Oryzias latipes: one gene and its partner. The protein of the gene in region 1 binds, or shares a complex with, the protein of each later gene. Links are inferred from orthologs where the notes say so. Each region holds a gene or a part of one and is shown on either strand. Other genes may lie near its edges.

Region 1 (11,660 bases):
ATTATAAATTGAAAACAAAGATCTGATTGCGATGCATTATTTCTGTAGATTTGGTGAACTGAACACATTCTGTTCAGGAGACACGACACAGTGGAGATTGATTAACAATGGTTCCCGTATTTTGTTAGATAAATTTCTCCTAAAAGTGTGACTTATACTTCAGTACGACTCGTATAGGATTTTGTATTTTTCGGCTGCTGAGGCTTATACTCCGGAGCAACTTATGGTCTGAAAAATTCGTACATAAAAGAACTTTCTGATGGACGTGTTTTAAAAACGCGTGGATTTTTTCTTTGACGTGGCCTGTAAGAACTAGAACTTGAAGTAGGAACATAAAATACTCACGGCTTCAGACTTGGGTGGGACAGGAGGTGGAGTAAGAGGCACATCTAAACTGGCTATAGGACAGACGGGACAAGAGACTGGGAAGGACAGTGGAGCTGCGACAGGACAGCCGTTGTTGACACCTCGTATTCCTTCACTTGAGGAGGGTTTAGGCGTCTGTCCTCTTAAGTGATCCAACCACAGCTCCTCATACGGACCGTCCAGCTTGTTGAAGGTCGGCTGTTGGGTCGTGCTATCCAGCAGCTCAGGGAAAAGGTGCTCGTTTTCTCCCGATTCAGAGTACTGGCCGTCAGAGGGCAGAAGAGTCCAATCTCCACATAGCGCCATGCATCCCTGCAGGTTAACTTCACTGTTTCCGTGCAGGTTGCTTCCGTAAACGCACACAGACAGTCGATGAAAGGACTGGGTGAGTTCATCGCGGGCGTACGTTAAGGAGTTGGGGATCTGTATGTGGCTGCTGCAACCGTTGGAACCGCCGTTGCCTCCACTGCTTCCGGAGCAGGTGCCATTCCCACTGCCTTTGTTGGGACTTTTTACGTCGTCGCTCCAGTCTGTCCGCACATCCCGGACGGCCCGGGAGTAATCGTCTATGTCAAACTGCTCCTGGCAGAAGGAGAACCAGCGATGCACCATTGTCTCCAGCCACAGCTCCCCTTGCAAAAGCTCCTCTGGGACGATGAACCTCGGCATGGCCATATGAAAGGGAAAATGGAAGGGAATGATTTTGTTGTTCCGCAGAATGCAGCACACAACCACCGTCTTTGTCTGGATGTTGACCAGCTTATAGCGGTGACCCTCCCGGACGAGGTGAAGGTCATACTGGTTCCGGGGTGGACTGCTGGGCACGATGACATTGACGGGGAGTCTGGTTTTTTCCACGATGTTTCTGATGGTGTGCTCGCCGTCCTGCATCTGAAGCTCCAGCGGGCTGCAGGTGCTAAACCTGCCTTTGCACTGAAACGGGAGACTGATGCTCTCGTTTGTGCGATGGTTCATGCAGATCAAGCACGGCATCTTGCCCCGGCCGATCTTGCTGATGGAGTGAAGCTTCCCGATCTTCTTAAAAATAGTGTTTAGTCGTGATTTTTCTTTGGAGCTTTTGGCGTAGAGGATCTCTGCCTGGCCCATTAATGTGAGCTCATCACCGGTGCTCAGCGTAATGTTGTAAACTTCTGTCTCTTCATTGCATTCCCCTGAAGCCATCTAGGACAGAAAAACAATTATAGAACATTAACCTAAACTAGTTAACAGCTTCTTTCTATTGAGCAATCAACCAAAAAAAAGACACAGACTATGAAATGCCTGTTTAAAACCACTTTTTAAAAAGTTGTTTCTGTGTTTTTCATGACTGGTTTTTCTCTGAGGGCTTTTACTCCAGGTGCATTGTGGTATTGATAAGGAAGTCATGGAATGCAAGCTGGCAGCTGTTAAGGGCGGTCTGACTTTCACATTTGGTGGTTTAATTAAAACAACTTTAGCAGAAAACAACAACCAGTTCCCCCTTCAGTAAGACGAAGGAAATGGAGGATTGTGCTTCAGAGTTGCCAAACTACCACGTTTCCCAACATCTGGCCACACCAAGTTAAAACATTCATGGCATCAGTTCCACCAACTTCCATTGAACTCTAAGAGAATCAGGTCTAAGTGATTTTTGGTAGAAGTCTCTACAATAAAAGAAACGTGATACACATCATTTCATAGTAATGCCTATTAAAAAAAAGAGATGAACATTTTATGAACATAGACGTGCTATAGCATGTCCTGCTGCTGGAAAAAACTGGAAATGCCTCCTAATTAGGGATGTGGATCATTTCTTAGATCAACGATTCACAGATCAAACCACAATTCTTTCCATTTAATATATTATGAATGAATGGTCGCCTCATGTACGTGTTTTTGTTGGATCTATAAACATCATTTACACATTTGTTCAGAACAGGATACAAGAATCAGCAAAACATAAATAAAAGCTCAAATATTTTAAAAGAAAGAAAAGGTATTTGTCACTTTAAATAATGTCACACTTGTGTAAGTTTTTCTGTAACCTTCCTGGTCAAATTCAGTAGTGTACAAAACATAATCGTCACTGTTGCTTTGGATCGTTTAACATCCAGTCCTGGAAGTGTTCTCCACAGTTTTTCCATCTTCAGAGTTTGGCTGACTAAAGTTCCAGTAGATGGATGATAAGAAAACAATAAATGAAGACACAGCAACACCTCAATAAAAGTGACTCTGTAATAAATAGGAACTGTTCTTTAATCTAAACTAACAGCAGAGTTTCCAGCAAACATATTTTATTAACTCACTGTTTTCATCTTTAGTGGAAAACACAAAAAACCTCCACACTTTAGATGAATATTTTGCAGACATGTTCTGGTACGTCACATAACTGAACAGAAGATTTTAATAATATTTTAAAATGTCCTATTCATTCTAATTTTTCTTTAAATTATCAACTACTTTTTAAATAAAATGTTTTTTTCAGAATTTATTTCAAAATTTTACTCCCATTTTTTGTATCTGAGAAAACACTTGATAGCTTTACTTTGAAAACGAGAACCTTCTCTGACACTTTACTCTGAAAATTTGTTTACTTCCTGTGACAGAAGTCCATTCAGTTTGTTTAGTTTTTAAACTTAAAATCCAACATTTTTCTGTATTTTACAGTGATAATTTATTTTTTATATATATTCCACTATATTTCCACGTCACAAATATTGGTACAGTTTTCTGGAAAAGATGGCGTATATCTGAGTATTCGGATGCTCATCTCGGTCCTATTCATCAAAATGATCACTTTGGAAGGGGAAAGTGTACCTTAACATTAAACGTGATGTCCTCCATGACGTACACTCTTTCGGGGAAGGCTTTGGCCACCTCCTCCACACTGTTGAAGTATTGCACGGGCTCCTTGACATCTCTGTCCTGTTCCAGCAACTTGAACTGGCCTAAGCAGAACACGAATGATTAGTGCTGATATTTTCCATCGCTTCTGCCATCACATGAGAAGTAAGCAGTTGGTGGTTCATCAGTTTCTCAAAATAATCACTCAGAAAACTTTTGAAAGCATACACGATGAATAATTTAGATAAGAAAGAGCCATTTCAAAGGAAGCACCATCTTCATGGCGGCTCCTTACCTTCATAATGAACTGGGATCTCTATTTTAGGCCCAATCACATAATGTCCCTCCTCTAGACTGTGAGCAGTTATAGTTGTCCACTGACGGCAGGAATGAATCAAGAGGTAGTCGTTTTCTCTGAGGCCCTCAACCAACTGAGCTGCAGAAAGGAAGTTTAACAATCAACCAAAGTACACAAAGAGTTTATGATACAATCAGGTCTGGATGAAGCTTTTAATAATATAGTCTATCCAGTGAGTTGCTTCCTGAAAAGGAAAATATTAAGATTTGAATAAATAAATGTGTCAGAAATTACACATAAAAATGTATGTTCAACTTACAAATAAAGTTTTTTAAAAATGAATCAAGTACTGGACACGAGCCTTTTTACTTCAAAACATTACATTATGGATAACCATCACCTGCTAAAAGAGACATTTTAAAAGGTAATTTAAAATCCATTAGACATAATCCCACACAATTTCTGCATGTTTTATACATTTAAATTATGAAATGAAAAACACAAATTTAACTAAGTAGATGTTAACTTTTGTCAAAGACACTTTCTAGTTAAATAAAGTGTAGACATACTAGGGGACTCATGATGTTGTGAAGGCAATGTTGTTGTTTTTTTACACCTTCAGCGTTTTCCTTTGATTAGCAAAATAGCCTTTTCGTTTTTACTTCATGACCTAAATTCTTATTCATTACCATCAAGGTTGCTTTTATATCAATCAGTTTATAGCATTATTGCACTAAAGCGAATCTTTGTTTTTCATTAGCTTAGACTAGAGCTGATAAGCAGAAGCCTTAACTGGCTAGCATGGTAGCTATAAAACTTGAAGTAAGTTACTAACCGTTATCCAGCATGACAATTTGTGGCAACTTGTACGCACTGACCAGCTGGTCTAGCGGCAGAGACGTCGTGCTCCACGTTACATCCTTTAAGTTATTGTACAACATCGTTCCAAGGTCCATTTTGCTAGCTTAAGTTAGTTAGCCACTTTTTGAGCTAACTGGTGCAAAACACGGTCACAAAAAAGCTTTCCCGAGCAAACTAGCTACACAATTATAGCTGCTCTTCATCTATGCAGTTGTGTCATGCACATGACGTTCCCAAGTCGTAGCTGCATAGTTCCCTCTAAGTTTCCCTACGTATCCAAAAGGTTCGTTGTTAGAAAAAGTAGCCAAGCCATGTTTGTTTAGTAGCGACGGCAGTATCAAGCTAACTATTCTAACGGAAATACGTCACTTTCTACAATTTTATTTTTATTAAATAAAAGCCTTTCCCTTTTCCCCCTCCAATTAAAATTGATGAATAACAAGATTTAAATCCCGGAACAACAACTCAAATTATAACAAAATTATACAAGTACATAGCAGGTGATAAAACATTAACAAAAGAAGGGAAAAGGCCAAATAAAGTGCATTCTTTAGGCTTTTCCATTAGGTTTAATTTTTTATAACCACTTCAATAATTTCACTGCGTTTTCTTTTGTTTGTTTTTTTGCTTATTTTTATTTATTTTTTACTTCTCACAAACAATTGAACTCCTTCTGATAAAATAGTCTGGATTACAAATTAAAAATCTATTTTAGTAAATAAAATATATTCCAAAAATTGTGAAGTTTCGTATCATTTCGTAATAACCAATCGATACATTTTCTAACTTTATGGCTTAGCTATTTTATATCTTATCTAATTTTACATCTTAGCTTTTGAAATAAAAGTGTTTGTTCCAACAGATGTAGAAATTGGATTTTAATGGAATGGAAGAAGTATTTACTATTTACTACATACTAAAGAAAATGCATTTAATTAATTCAAGATAAGTACCAGAAAGTATATTTTTGTCTCGCTAAAAGGTTGGGGAAATAAGAAAAATTTTAAAGAGTGTTGGCCAACAATTCAACAATTTTAAGGACAAGAGAAAAAAAATCAAAACTCTAAAATAATTTATTTTCTTATAACTTTGTTAATGTTTACACTAATCTATATAACTTAAAGAAAAAGTCTATTAAAACCTGAGATGTAACCTTTTTTTTTTGTTTGTTTTTTCATTCTATTTTGTTTTGCAGACTGTAATGCCAGATTTAAGCCTCAAACTTTGCTAAATAATGTTAAAATAATGTTTTAATTACTCATAAGTTTTCATTTATCTCTTAAGGCACATAAAATAAAAGAATAAATTTAAAAAACATTGAGGTAATAAAATAACCTGTTCTTTTGTTTTGGCTAAATATATGGGTTCACACAATTTTTATTAATTCATTTTTAATCAGTGAAGTTTTGGAAAATCTTAACTTAAGGTAGACTTTGTGATGAGTAAATGAAAAAAAATGAAAAAAATACGGTATTGCTAATACAAATCCATGTAAATCATAAAATTAACCAAAGATAATGATGAGGTGGGGAGTACTACTATTGCACTTTACTTCATTATTTACTCTTAAAATACTACAGTAAATATTTAAACACCCATAATTTTTTCAGATCAACGATTCACAGATCAAACCACGATTCTTACTATATTGACTTGGACTCAAGAGCACATGGCGTTGATGCAAATTCATTGAACGTTGTCATCAACTTCCTGTTTTTCATGGCATAAATCAGAGAAACTTCCTCAATTCAGTCACTGTGTCTCAGCGGCAGCCAAAATGTCTTTTGTGGACACTCTGCGACAGTGGGATGACGGCGTAACCTGTGCTGACAAACAGGATTTTTCGGAAGCTCTCCGGATTCTCTTGGCCATTCCTGAGCCAAACTCCAAGATTTGTTTCAACATCGGCTGTCTGCATCTGCTTAACCAGAACTTGGATGATGCTGAAAAGGTAAAGTCAAGCATTTCTCAACTATTAATTTGCTCCTAAAATAGAAAACTAGAAATCTGAAAACATCAGTTATCTGGATGCAACCGGTGAGGCAGAGATTGAATTCGATTGTAGTGTAAGTGCGAGTCGCAGTGAAACAAGAAGTGGTGCTGAAAGCGTTTTTGTAAAGGAAGTTGCTGCTGTTTCATAGGCGTTCGATTGCAGCATTCGCAAGGATGAGCATTTGGCAGTGGCTTTCTTTCAAAGAGGAATCACCTTTTATAAGAAGATGAGGTAAGACACACCGGCTTTTTACAAACAACGACCAATTTCCTTCCATTTCATTCCAAATTCAGAACACCTGTTAAGTATTTGCACCTAAACCACAAGTTTTCACTGATTTGTTATGCAATTTATTTGATCACACATCTGTAAAGGTACGAAGAGAGCATTGGTGACTTCCAGAGAGCCTTCAAAACGCTAAGAGGAAACAACCTGATCGATTACAAGGCCCTTGGTCTCAGATATATTCTATATGCATGTGAGGTAGGTGTTTTCAACCTTAGGCACAATCTACTACATCATCACTAAATCATAACACCTTCCAATTCTGCTGTTTGCATGAGAAAAGCTCTAAATAAAATCTCTCCTTTCAAAGGTTCTCCACAACATGGCCCTGGCTGAGGCTCAGCTGGGAAACTGGGAAAAGGCTGAGCAAAACCTCAGGAAGGCGCTTGACTACAAAACAGACGCCAAGCTCAGTGTCATCGAAAAAGCTCAGCAGGCAGTCCTGGTTAGCATTGATCTGATGAAAAACGAGGGTTTCTCTTAAAGTGCCCAATTTACATGGAGGGGGGGGGATCTAAAAAGTAATTTTAACAGTCGACTGGGATAGGCTCCAGCAGCCCTGTGACCCCTATAAGGGATTCAGCAGGAATATAAATAAATATTTTAAAATGTTAATCCACACATTTAAAAACTATTAAACAAAACACATCTGCAGTTTCATCTCTGCTAAGGATCTCGTCAGAGTAAATAATGTCTTTATTTGTCCAGTAAGTTCAGGTCCAACCGTGCCTCCATGGAAAGTTTAGGGACAGAATGCGGTTTTGAAATGTCAGATTTAGGACATCTTTTTGATGCGATTTCATTGACAGAAGGAGAAGCTGTTCAAACTAGTGGAGTTCCCATCAAAAATGATGTTTAAACCAAATAAACATTACGTTGCAGAGCTGGAGAAGAAAGACTACCTGGGCAAAGCCAAAGTAAGAATAAATCTTTTTCATTGAAATAAATCATCTTACATGATTTGGGAAATCTTGAGGGTGAACTTAACAATCTGTGTATTGTTTGTTTGATGATCAGGTTGTTGCCTCTGTCAATCCACAAGACGATTTTTCTGGATTTGCTCCTCTGCAGCCACAGGTGACGGAGATTCGTATTTTTCGTTGCTAAATGCTGTGATGAGGCAACAAAAAATTCTGAAAAATTGTGAAATGTCCACGCAACCTTCCAGCTTGAAAATGAGCCTTAGAAGCATGCGATGTTTGTTTCTCCCTCCTACATTTTTTATTGACACTAAGCTAAAAGCAGTGACAAGTGTAGTACAACTTGTCGGGATCGAAAAAGTATCCATTCATCCATCCGTCCGTATCTCAATCACTTTTCAGAATAACCTGTAAGCAGAAAGTCAGCACATCTGCTATTCAAGCTGTTTAAAAGACAGAGAAGGTCACAAGTCCCTTTTTTCCAAGTCCAAATCAACTCTGAAGTCTCAAGTCTGTCATTTCAAGTCTCAAATTTGAATTTTAATGAAGAGTCTACTAACACAAATTGTCATCACATTTTTGTGGACATTAAAACAGACAGTTTATGTTTCGGCAAAGCTTCTTAAAGATAATTTTTTAACAAACATTATTTATTCACAAGTCCCAAACCTGGAGGTTAAATTCAAATATTTGCATGTGAGACTTTGGTCCAAGTCAAGTCCAAGTCACAAATACAAGTCCCTATCTGTCATTCCATCAGAACCAGAACATCAGGAGGTTGAGTCATGGTTTAAACACAGTCAGTAAACAAAATCTTATTTGTGGCAGGCTGTTGTGAAAAAATTCTTGAATCTTTGGATGTGCATTTAAACATTGCCCATGTATAAAAGATTTTATGCCTTTTAATTTTATATTTAATTTGAAATTAGGATTACCTTTTGTGAGTTTTGTGTGTACATCCCGTATACTAGACAGGACTGGGGAAAACACTGGAGCCCTCAAGAACCAGTATGACTCAGTAAATCAGGGACTGACTGGATAATCTCCTTCTTAATCACTAAACAGGTTGAAGATGGTCCACTTTCTCCAAGAGAACCAGAAGTTTTAAGGTACATCCCAAGTTTTTTTAAAAATCTATCAAGTAGAAATTGATAAAATGTTTTTTAATATCTTTTTGCTGAATGTCTTTGTCCTTTCGTGTAAAAGGGTTTTCTAATTTTCATCAAATTAAACGTCATCTTCCTTCAATGACAAAAAGACACGTGTGTTACGATACCCTTTGTGTGTCTATTCTTCATAGAGCCTTGGAAGGTGAACCCCACACTGTACTGTTTGAGTTTGTTCCTGAAACCTGCGACGAGCTGGCCGTGAAGCCCGGCAACATGGTGTTCGTGCTGCAGAAAGGGGCAGACAACTGGGCCTATGTCATCTTCAATGGAAGAGTAAGAATGCCGTATGCACAATCTGTGATACTTCTTGAGAGTGTGTGCATCATTTTTTTCCCCCAGATTGTGTGTTTAGTAGAGAACTGAGTGCTTATTCGTGGTTATGATTACAGACGGGACTCGTACCGTACAATTACCTGGAGCGTCAGGAGATCTCTCTGGCTTTAAAACAGAAAAAGGTATTGGTACTAGGGATGCAACGATTCACTTTCTCCACGATTTAGCACAAATTTTGATTTTTTTTTGGGTCACAGTTTTGTGTCATTTTGATATAAGATTTGTTTATAAAATGACAAAAAACAAAAAATTTGGACAAATCCTTTTTTTTAATTTGGTAATCAGCGAGTTACAATGAAGTGAAAGACTTCACTTGGCTCATACTTGGGGTTGGGGTAATGTAACAAAACAATAAATACTAGGATGTATTCAGACTGGAGAAGTTAGTTGGTCTAGACCCAGTTTGCCTAATTTGGTCTGGATCAAGTCCTGAACCTTGCATTTGGTCTGTACTCAGATGGCTTTTCAGCTGGAGATTTGTTTCGAACCAAAGCTTGTAAACAAAAGCATGTGATTGAAAATCTCTGCAACCATTGGCAGGACACAGCAAGGAGATAAATAATGAAAGTCCTACAATCCATGTCGGATTATCCAAACTTTATATTTTGCTGAACAATTTTGAACGTCTGTGTCGGAGGCTGCAAGATAACTGTTTATGACACAGATTGTCGGGAAACACTGTGAAAACAATGTGTATCACGTTAAAAGTTATTTTAATGAGCTAAAGAGTTGCTCATTAAATTTAATGAGTTGCTGCGTCTCATCGTCGCTCCACAATTCTCTGCGGCTCATCCGTTTACATCCTGTAAAGATGAGGTAGCCGTTTAGGTTCAGTTGTTCTGCTCTGAATATGGAGTCTATTCAGACTGAGAAAAACTCCAGAAATGAGTCTGATTGGAAATGAACTGAAACCACCTCGAAAGACGGATCAGAGAGCGGTTCCTGGTCCAGGATCAGGGTCTGCTTGCCAGGGTCCTCAGAATGAAACTTGAAATGAACTCTGGTTCTCTTCAAGTTGAGCAAATGTTTCCAATCTGAATACAGCCTGAATGCTTTTTAAATTTAGCACACTTGTTGAACACTTTTAACCTAAAACACTGGTATGCCGTGTTCAACGATTCACTTTAATGGTTTAACATACGGTTTGGTTTCTGATCAACACTTGTGGCATCCCTAATTGATACACAATATTTATATTTTTTATTAAAAGCTCAACTTTGACATGTGGAGTAGTTTCAATCTTTAAGTATCCTGATTTCCTCTCAAATTTTTGCGTGTTGTTGAAAATTGCCTTTAATGGGAATAACTGTCACCAGGGTTTGGTTCCAACTTCAAGTCGAGAAGCACCGAATATACCGGAGAGGACTCGAGGTAGATTTTATGACACACAGGCTTTAAAACATTCTCGTTTCCTCCGTTTCTCCATGTTTGATCTGGTCTGTTGCCGTTCAGGTCTCAGTTCTGGGAACGACAGCAATGGAAATGAAGAGCAGACGGTACGCTGAGACAAACCCAACAGTCAGTGGTCCTCATCATAAACGCCTCGTTGATCATTCGGTTTCCTTTCAAATCCAAGGTTCCAGACAGTTTATACATCGTCAAAGTTCACTTCACATTCACCTTTGCTGTCTCAATACCACGTGAGTCTTCCTATGAAGTGCTGATAAGAAAAATAAGCAAGAAGGTGAAGCTCCCGTCAGACAACATCTCCTTAAGGTAGAGCCATCATTTTAACCCCAAAACTGACACCTTCCATTGATCCTCATCTTTGTATGACAAAAGTTACCGTCGTATTTTGGCTTCAGCTTAGATTCAAGCGGACAACGTGCGATTGATGCAAACACAGACATGGAAACGGTGTGGAGCCAGGTCCGTGCCGGGCGCATCACTTTGTGGTGCAAAGAAAAGAAGGTAAGGAAGTGGTGGCGGCGCACAAACCAGGCGTTTCTGTCAACATCACCATTAAGCAACGAGATGCAACTGAAAGGAAGTTTGGACATCATATTCCTGTTTACTGAGAACTTTTGCTTCATCAGTGTGAATGAGTTCACATGTATGGGGAGGCCGTGGTGCAGCGGTAGGGCGGTCGACCCATGATCGTAAGATTGCAGGTTCGATTCCCGCCTTGCACGCCCACGTGTCGAAGTGTCCTTGGGCAAGACACTGAACCCTAACTTGCCTCTGGTGGGAGGTTGGCGCCAGTGTTTGGCAGCGGAGCCGCCATCAGTGTGTGAATGTGTGTGTGCATGGGTGAATGGGACTGTGACTGTAAAGCGCTTTGGGCTTTCGTAAGAAGGTAGAAAGCGCTATATAAGTATACGCCATTTACCATTTACCATTCTCCAGTTGCCTCCAACGGTCCAAAAGCATGCTTCGGTGACTCTAAATTGCCCGTAGGTGAGCGTTTGTGGCCCTGCGACAGACTGGCGTATACCTTGCCTTCACCCTACAGTAGCTGGGTTGGCTAAGACAACTCCATGACCCCGAAAGGGGGACAGTGGGTGCTGATAATAGATGAATATTGTAAATAACATTACTCCAAAAACTGCATTGCATTCTGAAACCTAGAAGAATTGGTAAAATATTGGTAACTTTTGAGAAATATTTAAAAA
Region 2 (10,990 bases), on another chromosome or scaffold:
CACAACAAATTTGGCTCAAAAATATTTGCAGCAGCTACTCAGATCTCTCTGTCTCTCCATGCAGGATGTTTTCCTGATCTGTTTCTCTCTGGTGAGCCCTGCCTCTTATGAAAATGTCAGAGCTAAGGTGAGTCTCAAGTAGCCCCCCCTTTTTTTTTGTAAAACCTTGACTTCATCCACCTGATCATGGATGAAACAAAAATAATTAAGGACAAAAGTGTTTCAACCAGGAGGGTGTGTCCAAAATAAAAATAAAAAATTGTGTTGAAATAGAATAATACACAGAAATAACTAAGGATCTCTTAAAACACTTTTATTTTCTATCTAATTTATAGACCAATTGACTGAATGTTCACTATGTTAAAACAAAGTGTCTGTCATTATTCTACAATAGAACATTTTGCATATTTTAATTTAAAAAGTGTTACATTCAGGATGTTTCAACTAAAGATTAGTCAATCTATCACATTAAAACGTTATTAAGTTATTGTGTCTTATATGAAGTGAAAAAATGTATTACTTAACTACAAATTAGGCCAATTCAGGGCATACTTGAAGTAGATCCATATTTAGTCTTTACTAAAATTGAGGCAGTATACTTGAAGTTTATTTTTTTTACACCATCTAAGCTTAAACTGTTCCAGTTTAGTCTGAAGAAGTACAGTCAGGACTGTAAATATTTGGACAGAGACACATTCTTTCTCATTTTGTCTCTGTATATTACCACAGTGAATTTTAAATAAAACAACTCAGATGCCATTGAAGTGTAGACTTTAAGCTTTCATTCCATTGGTTGAACATAAAGATTGCATAAAAGTGTGAAAAACTAAAGCATTTTTTAAACACAATCCCTTCATTTCATGGGCTCGTAAGTAATTGGACAAATAAAATAACTGAAAACAAAATGGTCATTACTAATATTTGGTTGAAAACCCTTTGTTGGCAATGACAGCCTGAAGTATTGAACTCATGGACATCACCAGATGCTGGGTTTTCTGCAGCGGCTTTCAGTTGCTGTTTGTTTGTGGGCCTTTCTGTCTGAAGTTTAGTCTCCAACAAGTGAAATGCATGCTCAATTGGGTTAAGATCAGGTGACTGACTTGGCCATTCAAGAATATTCCACTTCTTTGCTTTAATAAACTCCTGAGTTGCTTTGGCTGTTTGTTTTGGGTCCTTGTCCATCTGTATTATAAAAACGCCGCCCAATCAGTTTGGCTGCATTCACCTGGATCTGCGCAGACAGTATGTCTCTGAACACCTCAGAGTTAATTCGGCTGCTGTGATCCATAGAAAAGACAATGATCCTACATTTGTGTACTCATACAGACCTATAAGCCCTTTAAATGTTGATACTAAAATTCTGGCAAAAATTTTAAGTAAGAGATTAGAGTCAGTGCTACCTACACTTATCCATGCCGATCAAAATGGTTTAGTTAAAAATAGACAGCTATCTAAAAACCTTTGTTGTCTCTTTAATATCATCTTTACAAGAGGTGAAAAGCCCACACCTGAATTACTCATCTCATTGGATGCGGAGAAGGCCTTTGATAGGGTGGAGTGGTCTTACCTCTTCTTTGCCCTTTCAAAATGTGGTTTTGGAGACAGTTTCATCTCCTGGTTTAAATTATTATATGCTTTTCTGGTCGCCTCTATTCAAATGAATGGCTACAGATCAGAGTACTTTCCACTTGCCAGGTCCACAAGACAGGGCTGCCCATTATCCCCTTTACCTTTTCCTATTGCAATTGAGCCACTTGCAATCTCTTTACGCACTTTAGAGGACTATACAGGCATTGTAAGAGCTAAATGAGAACATAAAGTTTCACTTTATGCTGACGATCTGCTGTTATACATCTCAAATCCTAGCATTTCTTTTCCAAGCATAATGAGAAAACTAGCATTCTTTGGCTATAAGATAAATATAAATAAAAGTATAATTTTTCCAATTAATGACACCCGGGTCAATAGATCTGGAATTCCCTTCATGATTTCATACCAATTTGCATATTTGGGAGTTACAGTTACCTCATCGGTAAAAAAACTTTACAACCAAAATTTCGCCAAACTAGCAGAACAAACCACAAGTGACCTTGAGAGATGGTCTTTTCTTCCACTCTCTCTTGCCGATCGTGTGGGGGTGATTAAAATGACAGTGCTGCCCACATGTTTTTTATGTTTCAATCTATTCCTCTCCACCTAAGCAATTGTTTCTTCAAAAAACTAGACAAGAGAATACTGGAATTCATTTGGAATAAGAAAGTCTCTTGGATTAAACGGTAGTTTCTACAAAGACCAAAATCCTCAGGAGGAATGGGCTTACCAAATTTTCAGCTTTATTATTGGGCTTGTAAACTTAAAAATATCTCATTTTGGATCACAGAGAAATTTCCAAACTGGATGGAGATAGTACAGAACCATTGCAACCCTTCTTCCCCTAAGGCATTTTTTTTTTGCAGACATAACTACAATATCACTAAAAAAGATTAAGGATTTGGTTGTATCTCATACAGTCAAAATATGGAAACAGATTGTGCATCATTTTGGTCTCCAGGCAAATCCATTGTCAGGCCCTATTGTTAAAAAACATTTGTTTTCTCCTTCAATGAAAAATGTTAATTTTGCTGACTGGTATGATCGTGGACTGCGTGTTTTCAAAGATCTTTATATTGATGGTTTGTTTTCATCATTTGATCTAGTAGTTGAAAGACAAATATAACTTGCCTAATACTCACTAAAGTTTTTGTTAGGCACAACTCTCCAAATTACCCACAACTCCCAGAGGAATCTGTTACCGATTCATTATTCTTGAAAGACCCTGCGACTAGAGGAGGAATCTCACATTTGCATAATAAACTGAGCCACCTCAATGGCCACAGCACTTTGCAGCACTTGAGGGAGCTCAGAAGAAATATTTCAGAAGAGCAATGGGATCTAGCTTTAGGCTCCACACACACAACCTCAATCTGTGCCAGGCATGGTTTGATTCAGTCTAAGATAATACACAGGCTCCACGGTACAAGGCTCAGACTGAGTAAGATATTCCCTGTCGTATACTGTGAGCCTGTCCACAGTATACGCTGTGGACAGGCTCCAGCATCTTTGTCGCACATGTTTTGGGGTTGCTCTAAGCTGTCAAACTTTTGGTCTGATGTTTCTCTGACACTAGCTGCGTTTACATGGACAAAAGTAATCAGAAAGAATGCCTGATTGGAAGAAAAATGCGTCATGTAAACACGCCGTTCGGAATACTCTACCCCAATCAGACTTGTTGGGATCACAATTTCTTTCCGATCAAGATAGGTGGGTTATGCCGATTGTTTATCTGATCGAGTTGCATGTAAACAGTTCATTCCGATCGTGTGTCACTACTGCTCTGGTTTTACGTCACGCATAGAAGGTGCGGTGCTTAAGAGAAAGCTTTGGAGCGCGAGTGAACCGTGCCTGTGAGCAGAGCATCCAGAGTTATAGCTTTGTGTTTGCAGGCAGGGCGGTGGTGCTTTGGTGCATGTGCACTCCAAGGGGGAGGCTTCCGACCCGCCGCTCTGGGTTAGCGGCTGCCGGACTCAGGAGAACCTTGTGTCCGAGCAGAGCTTGGGCAGCCAGCTCACACAGCGGCTTTCGGGTGGTGTGTGAGCTTTTCAAACAAAGCAAAAAGGCTGCTCAGTCCTTAGAAAGCGTTCAAACAATCACGTGGATTTGTGTTTCCAGTCGTGTCCCGACAAAATAAAGGCTGATGTTTATTCCCACATATTTATGTCCAGCCAAGATGCAGATTGCGGCATTTCCCACATGGACTTTATGTTCGTCAAAAGCTAAATGTTGTTAGCCCGTGTTAGCCTTCTCCTAACCCTTCTTCCTGCTCCTTTCTTCCACAAAAAAAAAAGCACTGACCACACGGATTAAAATTGAAGTGATGAGGGAACAGGCGCTTCATGACATTAATAAAAGCACATTAAGAAGATCATCTCGTATATTACCGAGCAGCTGCATAAATGTATATGGCAGCTCACTTTGTTTACAGTGGGACTCATTTCTTCTTCAGGTATTTTCAACACTATTGCGCATGCCCAAATGATTTATTCCGACCGATAGTGTGACTATGTGAACATTCGTTCTAATTGGAAAAAGTTTTTCTAGGCCCATGTACACGGTTGAATTTTAATCCGACCACTGATCCGATCAAGATATTTTGCACATGTAACCTGTAATGTAACATGTAACATGTAATTATTTTTTTTGTCTTTTTTATTTCATATCTACATTATTCATTTTTTTCTTTCTTGTAATTTGTTAGTGTTGTCTGTTTTGAAAATATGTTAAAAACCCAATAAAAGGAAAAACATTTTTTTTTTAAACCCTTATAAATAAATTAAAATAAGAGGGAAATGTAAAACTACTTTACTCAAAAAACTGCAGTCACTTGCCTCATTTTACATAATGAGGCAAGAGAGCTTATTTTCCATTAATATTGTATTTTTATTTTTGTTGTAGTGCTTGTCAGATTTGAATGTCTGCCGTTTGATTTGCATCCCTTTCCTCATTCGGGAGTGCACTACTGTTCTGCGCCAATCTTTCGCTGTCAAGCTAACTTATGCTGTGAGTGCACATCCTGCTCTTGACTACAGAAATGATTATTTATCGTCATCTTTTTAATGGACAATAAATCCAACGCCGTCAACCACATTCCTAGGGATGAGAATGTCCGCAGCCCCATCAGTAAATGGGAAGTGACGAGGCGGACGGAGTGGTGAGAGTGTGGAAAGTCCAAAGGCCCAAAAAGCTTTTCTGGTTCTTCTAATGAGATTCCTCTTTAAAATGAATCGTAGTGGAGTGTCAAGGCCATTAAAGCACTCTCTCTGTTGAGGAAATATTCAGATACATGTAAAACCAAATTTATTAGTGAACTCTCATCTTAATATTTGATTGAAACAAATGTATCTGTTCAGCCAAATGAAATAACCAAAAACCAATGACTATTATTTTGTATTAATGTATGAAATCATTACAAAAAATGTAATACAGTCTTGTCATTTTGATGATTAAAGCCTATAGATGAGAAGGAAGGGGGGAAAAAAGGGAAAGGGAAAAAAAAAGACTTCATTGGGCTGCTTCTGTCCTGTGTCACGTCGTCAATAAACACTAGTGTCCCAGTGCCACTAGCAGCCATGCACGTCCAGGCCAACACACTGCCTCCACAGTGTTTTACTGATGATGTAGTGTGCTTTGGATCATGAGCTTCTCCACGCCTTCTCCATACTTTTCTCTTGCCATCATTCTGGTAGAGGTTGATTCTGGTTTATTCTATCCAAAGAATGTTTTTCCAGAACTGTGCTGGCTTTTTTAGATGCTTTTTAGCAAAGTCCAATCCAGCCTTCCTATTCTTGAGGCTTATGAGTGGTTTGCATCTTGCAGTGTACCCTCTAAATCTTCTTTCATGCAGTCTTCTTTTTATGCTAGACTTAGATATTGATACGTCTATCTCCTGGAGAGTGTTGTTCACTTGGTTGGCTGTTGTGAACGGGTTCCTCTTCACAGTGGAAATGATTCTGCCATCATCCACCACTATTGTTTTCTGTGGATGTCCAGGTCTTTTTGCGTTTCTGAGTTCACCAGTGCTTTCTTTCTTTCTCAGGATGTACCACACTGTTGATTTTGCCACTCCTAATACTGTAGCAATTTCTGTTTTCTCAGCTTAATGATGGCTCCTTTCACCTGCATGGAGAGCTCCTTTGACCGCATGTTGTCAGCAAAATCTTCAAAATGCAAGCACGAGTCCTCTAATCAACTTCAGGCCTTTTATCTGCTTCACTCATAATGACATAACAAGGGAATTGGCCACACCTGCCCATGCAATAGCATGGAAGTCATCTGTCCAATTACTTACAATCCCATGAAATGAAAGGATTTTTATGCAATCTTTTTGTTCAACCCATGGAATAAAAGCTGAAAGTCTGCACTGCAATGGCATCTGAGTTGTTTTATGTAAAATTCACTGTGGTAATGTACAGAAACAAAATGAGAAAGAACGTGTCTCTGTCCAAATATTTATGGTCCTGACTATATTTAGATAGTATACTTCCCACTCGTAGATGGTCTTTTGCATATTTGCTATTCTCATTTTTTAGTGTACTGAATAAAATGAAGTGCAAGTGTGTTACTTTTTGCTAGGAGTTGCATTCGCCCCACCCTATGATGGGTTGCAATAATCCCCATAATCCAGCACAGAACTAATCTGGAACAGAAATTGGATTAATTTAAAATTAAGCAAATATACTTGTATAGGTTTAGAGTTTTTTTTTATCTCTAATCAGATTGAATCTCGGTAAATTACTTTACACATTTCCTGAAATTGAGACACAAAGAGGTTGTGCACTGTTTAAAGTAGCCACACAACATGAATTATTGACCTTTGACCATTGTTTAAACTCTCAATTTAAATTAAATTTGTGTCTCCCTTTTGATTCTTTTTTCATGATGGTCAAGACAACTTTTTTTTGCTTTTTTCCGTTTGGTACAGGATCATTATCTACATTTCATTGGAAAAGTAAAATCCACATATTTCCGGAAAGAATTAAACAAAAAGAGCAGGAGTAGAAGTTCATGTGTAAGAAAAAAAAGCTAGTGGTTAAAGAATAAAGCTTATCTCAGATTTTTTTCAGTAGCTAAATCTATAGTTATTTAACCTTTGTTTTTCTCCCTTGGCTTCTGATAAACTAAATAACATCCTACCATCTTTTCAAATATGACTTCTGGTATTTTAAATATACTGTAAAATACATTGAAAGTTATTTATTTAGCTAAGAGAATTAAATGCAGAAAATCTACAAACTGTTAGCCAGGAAAAATCTGGAAAAGGAGAGGAAGTCCAAATAGTTAAAAAAATTCAAACACATTTACTTTCAGTCTTTAACGTTTAAGCACGCCATTACCAGACTTACATTTAGTTGTAAATAAAAAATAAAGAAAAATTAGGAAAATGTTCCATGTTTGTTTTTTCATGTCCTTAATTTGCAGTGGTACCCAGAGGTTCGCCACCACTGCCCTTCCACACCAATCATCCTGGTGGGCACCAAGCTGGATCTGAGGGATGAGAAAGATACGATTGAGAAGCTAAAGGAAAAAAAACTGGCACCAATCACCTATCCACAAGGCTTAGCTCTGGCTAAGGAGATTGGTCAGTTATACTCAATATTGTTTCAGCTCTGTTTTTTTTTTTAAATAAATATTTGTGATCTGATCTGTGATTTAATATGTTTACATGTATAACACTCAACCCTGTAACTAAAAATGTGCTTTTTGAAGAAAAATATAAAGCTTTTAATATATACGTATTTGATGTTTTATGGGACAAATTCATGTTGATTTAGATTTTACTTTGGAGCTTAAAAAAATGAATTAAAGCCTGAGTGGTGTTGTATGCAAGCAATAGCCACCCCCTCCTGATCTGCCCTCATTGGCTTTAGTGGCTGCTACACACCCCTCACTCTACCCTTCTGCCACTGCTACTTTAAACCCCACTTTTTTCAAAATGGCAGCCAGGTAGTGACGAACAGGTCTAAAAATAATTTTGAAGAATTGCCAAAAATAAATGTTTGGATTTCCTTGGCAACAGAGGGTTTTGTTAATCACGCCCACATTCCATTGTATGTCATATAATTTCGTTCCGCTTGAGCCAAGGATTCATGTATTATTTTTTGTGATAATGTTCCAGTAAAAACTGTGTGAGCAACAGGCGAACACCACTTTTGTGAGTTTGCCACACTTACACTGTCCAAAATCTACAACTTCTAAATCCAACCTTTTTTTTACCCAAGTAGCTTCCCAGTAATGCTCAAAAAGTTAAAAGGCGATAGATTAAATTCTATTGGAGGAGTTTAAAATTGTAGGTTTGTTTAAAAATTCAAGATTGTAGCTGCTTCTCATGGTCAAAGAAACTTTGGTGGTGGTCGTTGGTGTGTGACATTTTGTAAAGATCACCCAAACAAAGCTTGTCCTTTCCCATACATGTGCAAAAATATGAAAATCACCAAAGTTCAAACTTCGGCATGTAGTAGCCATCAAGCCGTAGAACCTGTGTCCATACTATGATAAAAACTTTGTTTGGATATGGCTGACATGTTGGTTTTGTTTCATTACTGAATGTTCAATTTCTTTTTTTTTTGGCCCCTTATTAGATTTTGGCCCAATTCTTTATTTGTTTATTTTTTACAATTTCACCTGCTGTGATTTCATCATTTTTGAGGGAGGGGTCATTCACTGTGTCAAAAATGCATTTTACCAGGTACTAAATATGTGCAAATTGTAGTGAGTTTTTTAGTATGTGTGTGTGTGGGAGGGGGGGGGGGGGTGACATTTTTTGCTTAAAGGCGCAGTAACAAAAAAGAATTGCTAAAACAATCAAATGTACTTATTTTGGTTTTTCTATGTTTTACCTGTTTTTGTCTTGTTTATTCTAAGAGAATTTGTTACAATTTTCTGAGGTTTACTGTGTGTTTGCATATGGACACAGATGCAGTGAAGTACCTGGAGTGCTCAGCACTGACCCAGCGTGGCCTGAAGACTGTGTTTGATGAAGCCATCAGGGCTGTGCTTTGCCCTCAGCCGGCCAAAGTAAAGAAGGCAAATTGCTTAATGCTGTAAATGGTAAGTGCAACATTATCCCTGAGAGGCAGGAGGAGAAATAAAAGGTGGAGAAATAAAACACATGCATTGACTGTGAGAGATGACTAGTGATATTTTAATGATTCAGGTTGAGAGGTTACAGGCTAGAAATAGTTGGGGTCACCTCCGTGTCTGGGCTCTGAAACTCAGTACCTTGAGAGGGGTTGGAGTTAACCCTGGTGGATGAGAGAGTCATGTCCCTTTGTCTTCAGGTGGGGGAAGGGTCTCTGACTGTGGAGCTGTTCCCAGTACATGATGGACTCCGGCAGTTCTGTTCATAGTTTTTATGGACAGAATTTATAGGCGCAGCCATGGGCCGGAGGGGGTCTGGTTTGGGAACCACAGGATTTCCTCTCTGCTCTTTGCTCTGCTCTTTGATGTTGTCCTGCTGGCTTCACAGAGCCGGGACCTCCAGCATGCATTGGGGTGGTTTGCGGCTGGGATGAGTCATGATTGCTAAATCTTTGATTTCTATCTTCATTCCAGTACTCACATATGGTCATGAGCTATGGGTAATGACTGAAAGAGCAAGGTTCCGAATACAAGCAGCTGAGATGAGCTTCCTCCGTAGGTTGGCTGGGCGCTCTCTTAAAGATAGGGTGAGAAGGTTTTTCACCCGCAAAGAGTAAAGCTGCTTCTCCTCCACATTGAGAGGAGCCAGTTCAGGTCGCTCGGGCATCTAGTCCGAAAGCCTCTTGGATGCCTCCCCGGGGAGGTGCTCCGGGAATTTCCCACTGGGTGTGGGCCCCGGGGGAGACCCAGGACATCCTGGACTGGAGAGACTGTGTGTCTTGGCTGGCCTGGGAATGCCTCTGGGTCCCCCCAAGAGGAACTGGTAGAAGGGGCCGGGGTGAGGGTAGTCTGGGAATCTTTGTTTAGACTGCGATGTCCTGGATGAGCGGAAGAAGATGGATGGATGGATGTTAAACATACATTCTTGAACGCATGTTTATCCCATGGCATTCACACTGGACAAGCAGGGAGGAATTTCTTCTTTTGCTATTGTTTTCTATCGCATGTCGGCCACCTACAGTTGGAAAAGGCTTAGTGTGAAATGTCAAAACGGTGCAAATCTTGTGAATCTTTCTTCAGGCTTTCTTTCACAGCTCTATTCCTGTATGTGAAAGACTTGTGCCCGGACAATTGAGCAATTAATAATTTCTCCTCCATGATAAGTTTTCAAACAGTTGGCACTTATGTGAATCACTGCCAAATCCGAGTCCCTGATTGGTCAAAGTTGGACCTGGGTTAACTTTTAATGCATGTTCAATAGCCGTACATTTGTTTGAAGAGCCAGTGGGGGAGTAAGAACATTTCATATGGACGGTTGGGAGAAGAACAGAAGACTTTAAATTAAGTTTTTTTTTTTTTTCATTTGTGATGTGCTGTTCACATTTGCCACTCTTCGAAACAGTTTTACAATTGTTATCGTTATTAAGTTAATAGAGCAGTTGTAATTATATTTTTTATTTTTTTGGCTGATGTTTATAAGTGCTTAAAAAGCTTGAATTTGTGATTTTTTTAAATCTTATCAAAATGATACTAATATTGACTCAGAAATTGGAGAGTTATTGGGGGAGTCCATTTTTTCTTTTTTTTTGCCTCTCCTTGCCTCCTTGTAGCTCCGCCCCTGCATAGAGCCCAAAAATGGTCAGAGAAAATTGCATAACCACGCATGAACATAAAGGTTTTAAACGCCGGAGCCTTAAACACATATTTTATGGGTTTACATAGAGTTTTTATTGGAAGTGGTGGCTTGAATGTGCATTGCCGAGGGCAGTGTGAACATAGCTTAACATAAACACCTTGACGTCTATTGATGCAAAAATGCAGCAAACCACTTTAGCTGCAAAATAACTTTCACTTAGCATCTATTTGAAAGCAAAAAATATAAGTGAAATTTATTTTAATATAAATTTATAATAAATTTATTTTCTCCTAGCTGAAAATAAATGCAGGCTTTAAGGAGTTAGTGGGCCTTATGGATCTCTGTTCTAACCTGCTTTTATGGTCTTCTTTTTAGATTCATTCGGTACCAAAGAGGAGTGAGAAGAGGACTGTGGATGTTGAGTTTAAATGACATGTAACTCTTTTATAACATCTCTACTAGAAGGTTTCAATAGGAGTCCACTTGTTAAAATATTATGCCTTTGCTTTCTTATTTACTTTAAAACTTTATTAATTTGCTTTGAATGGTCTGCTATGAGTGAGCATTGAAAAATGATGTCAAAAATTAGAAAGTTTCTGTTATATCTGTTGGTTTGCAAAAGAACGGGAGCAAAAGTAACAGACCAGAAAAAAATTGATTTATAAAGAAAAGCATTGTGAA

What was found.
Region 2: ncf2 (region 1) and ras-related C3 botulinum toxin substrate 2 share a complex: the UniProt entries of both Homo sapiens proteins name them as parts of the phagocyte NADPH oxidase complex. The link is inferred for Oryzias latipes from reciprocal best matches to the Homo sapiens genes NCF2 and RAC2.

What each region holds. Positions count from the first base shown.
Region 1 is NC_019878.2:10,707,726-10,719,385, reverse strand, and holds the start of ncf2 (neutrophil cytosol factor 2), read left to right. Parts: upstream 1-5,895; 5' UTR 5,896-6,125; coding exon 6,126-6,299; intron 6,300-6,489; coding exon 6,490-6,572; intron 6,573-6,715; coding exon 6,716-6,824; intron 6,825-6,936; coding exon 6,937-7,071; intron 7,072-7,435; coding exon 7,436-7,543; intron 7,544-7,643; coding exon 7,644-7,703; intron 7,704-8,611; coding exon 8,612-8,655; intron 8,656-8,846; coding exon 8,847-8,988; intron 8,989-9,104; coding exon 9,105-9,170; intron 9,171-10,364; coding exon 10,365-10,419; intron 10,420-10,500; coding exon 10,501-10,544; intron 10,545-10,624; coding exon 10,625-10,764; intron 10,765-10,853; coding exon 10,854-10,959; intron 10,960-11,660. Other genes in the region: garem1 (GRB2-associated and regulator of MAPK protein 1), read right to left, coding at 346-1,548, 3,163-3,293, 3,485-3,625, 4,323-4,443. UniProt on the Homo sapiens protein: Subunit of the phagocyte NADPH oxidase complex that mediates the transfer of electrons from cytosolic NADPH to O2 to produce the superoxide anion (O2(-)).
Region 2 is NC_019859.2:25,185,086-25,196,075, reverse strand, and holds part of ras-related C3 botulinum toxin substrate 2, read left to right. Parts: intron 1-64; coding exon 65-127; intron 128-7,014; coding exon 7,015-7,174; intron 7,175-8,509; coding exon 8,510-8,640; 3' UTR 8,641-8,643; intron 8,644-10,684; 3' UTR 10,685-10,990. UniProt on the Homo sapiens protein: Plasma membrane-associated small GTPase which cycles between an active GTP-bound and inactive GDP-bound state.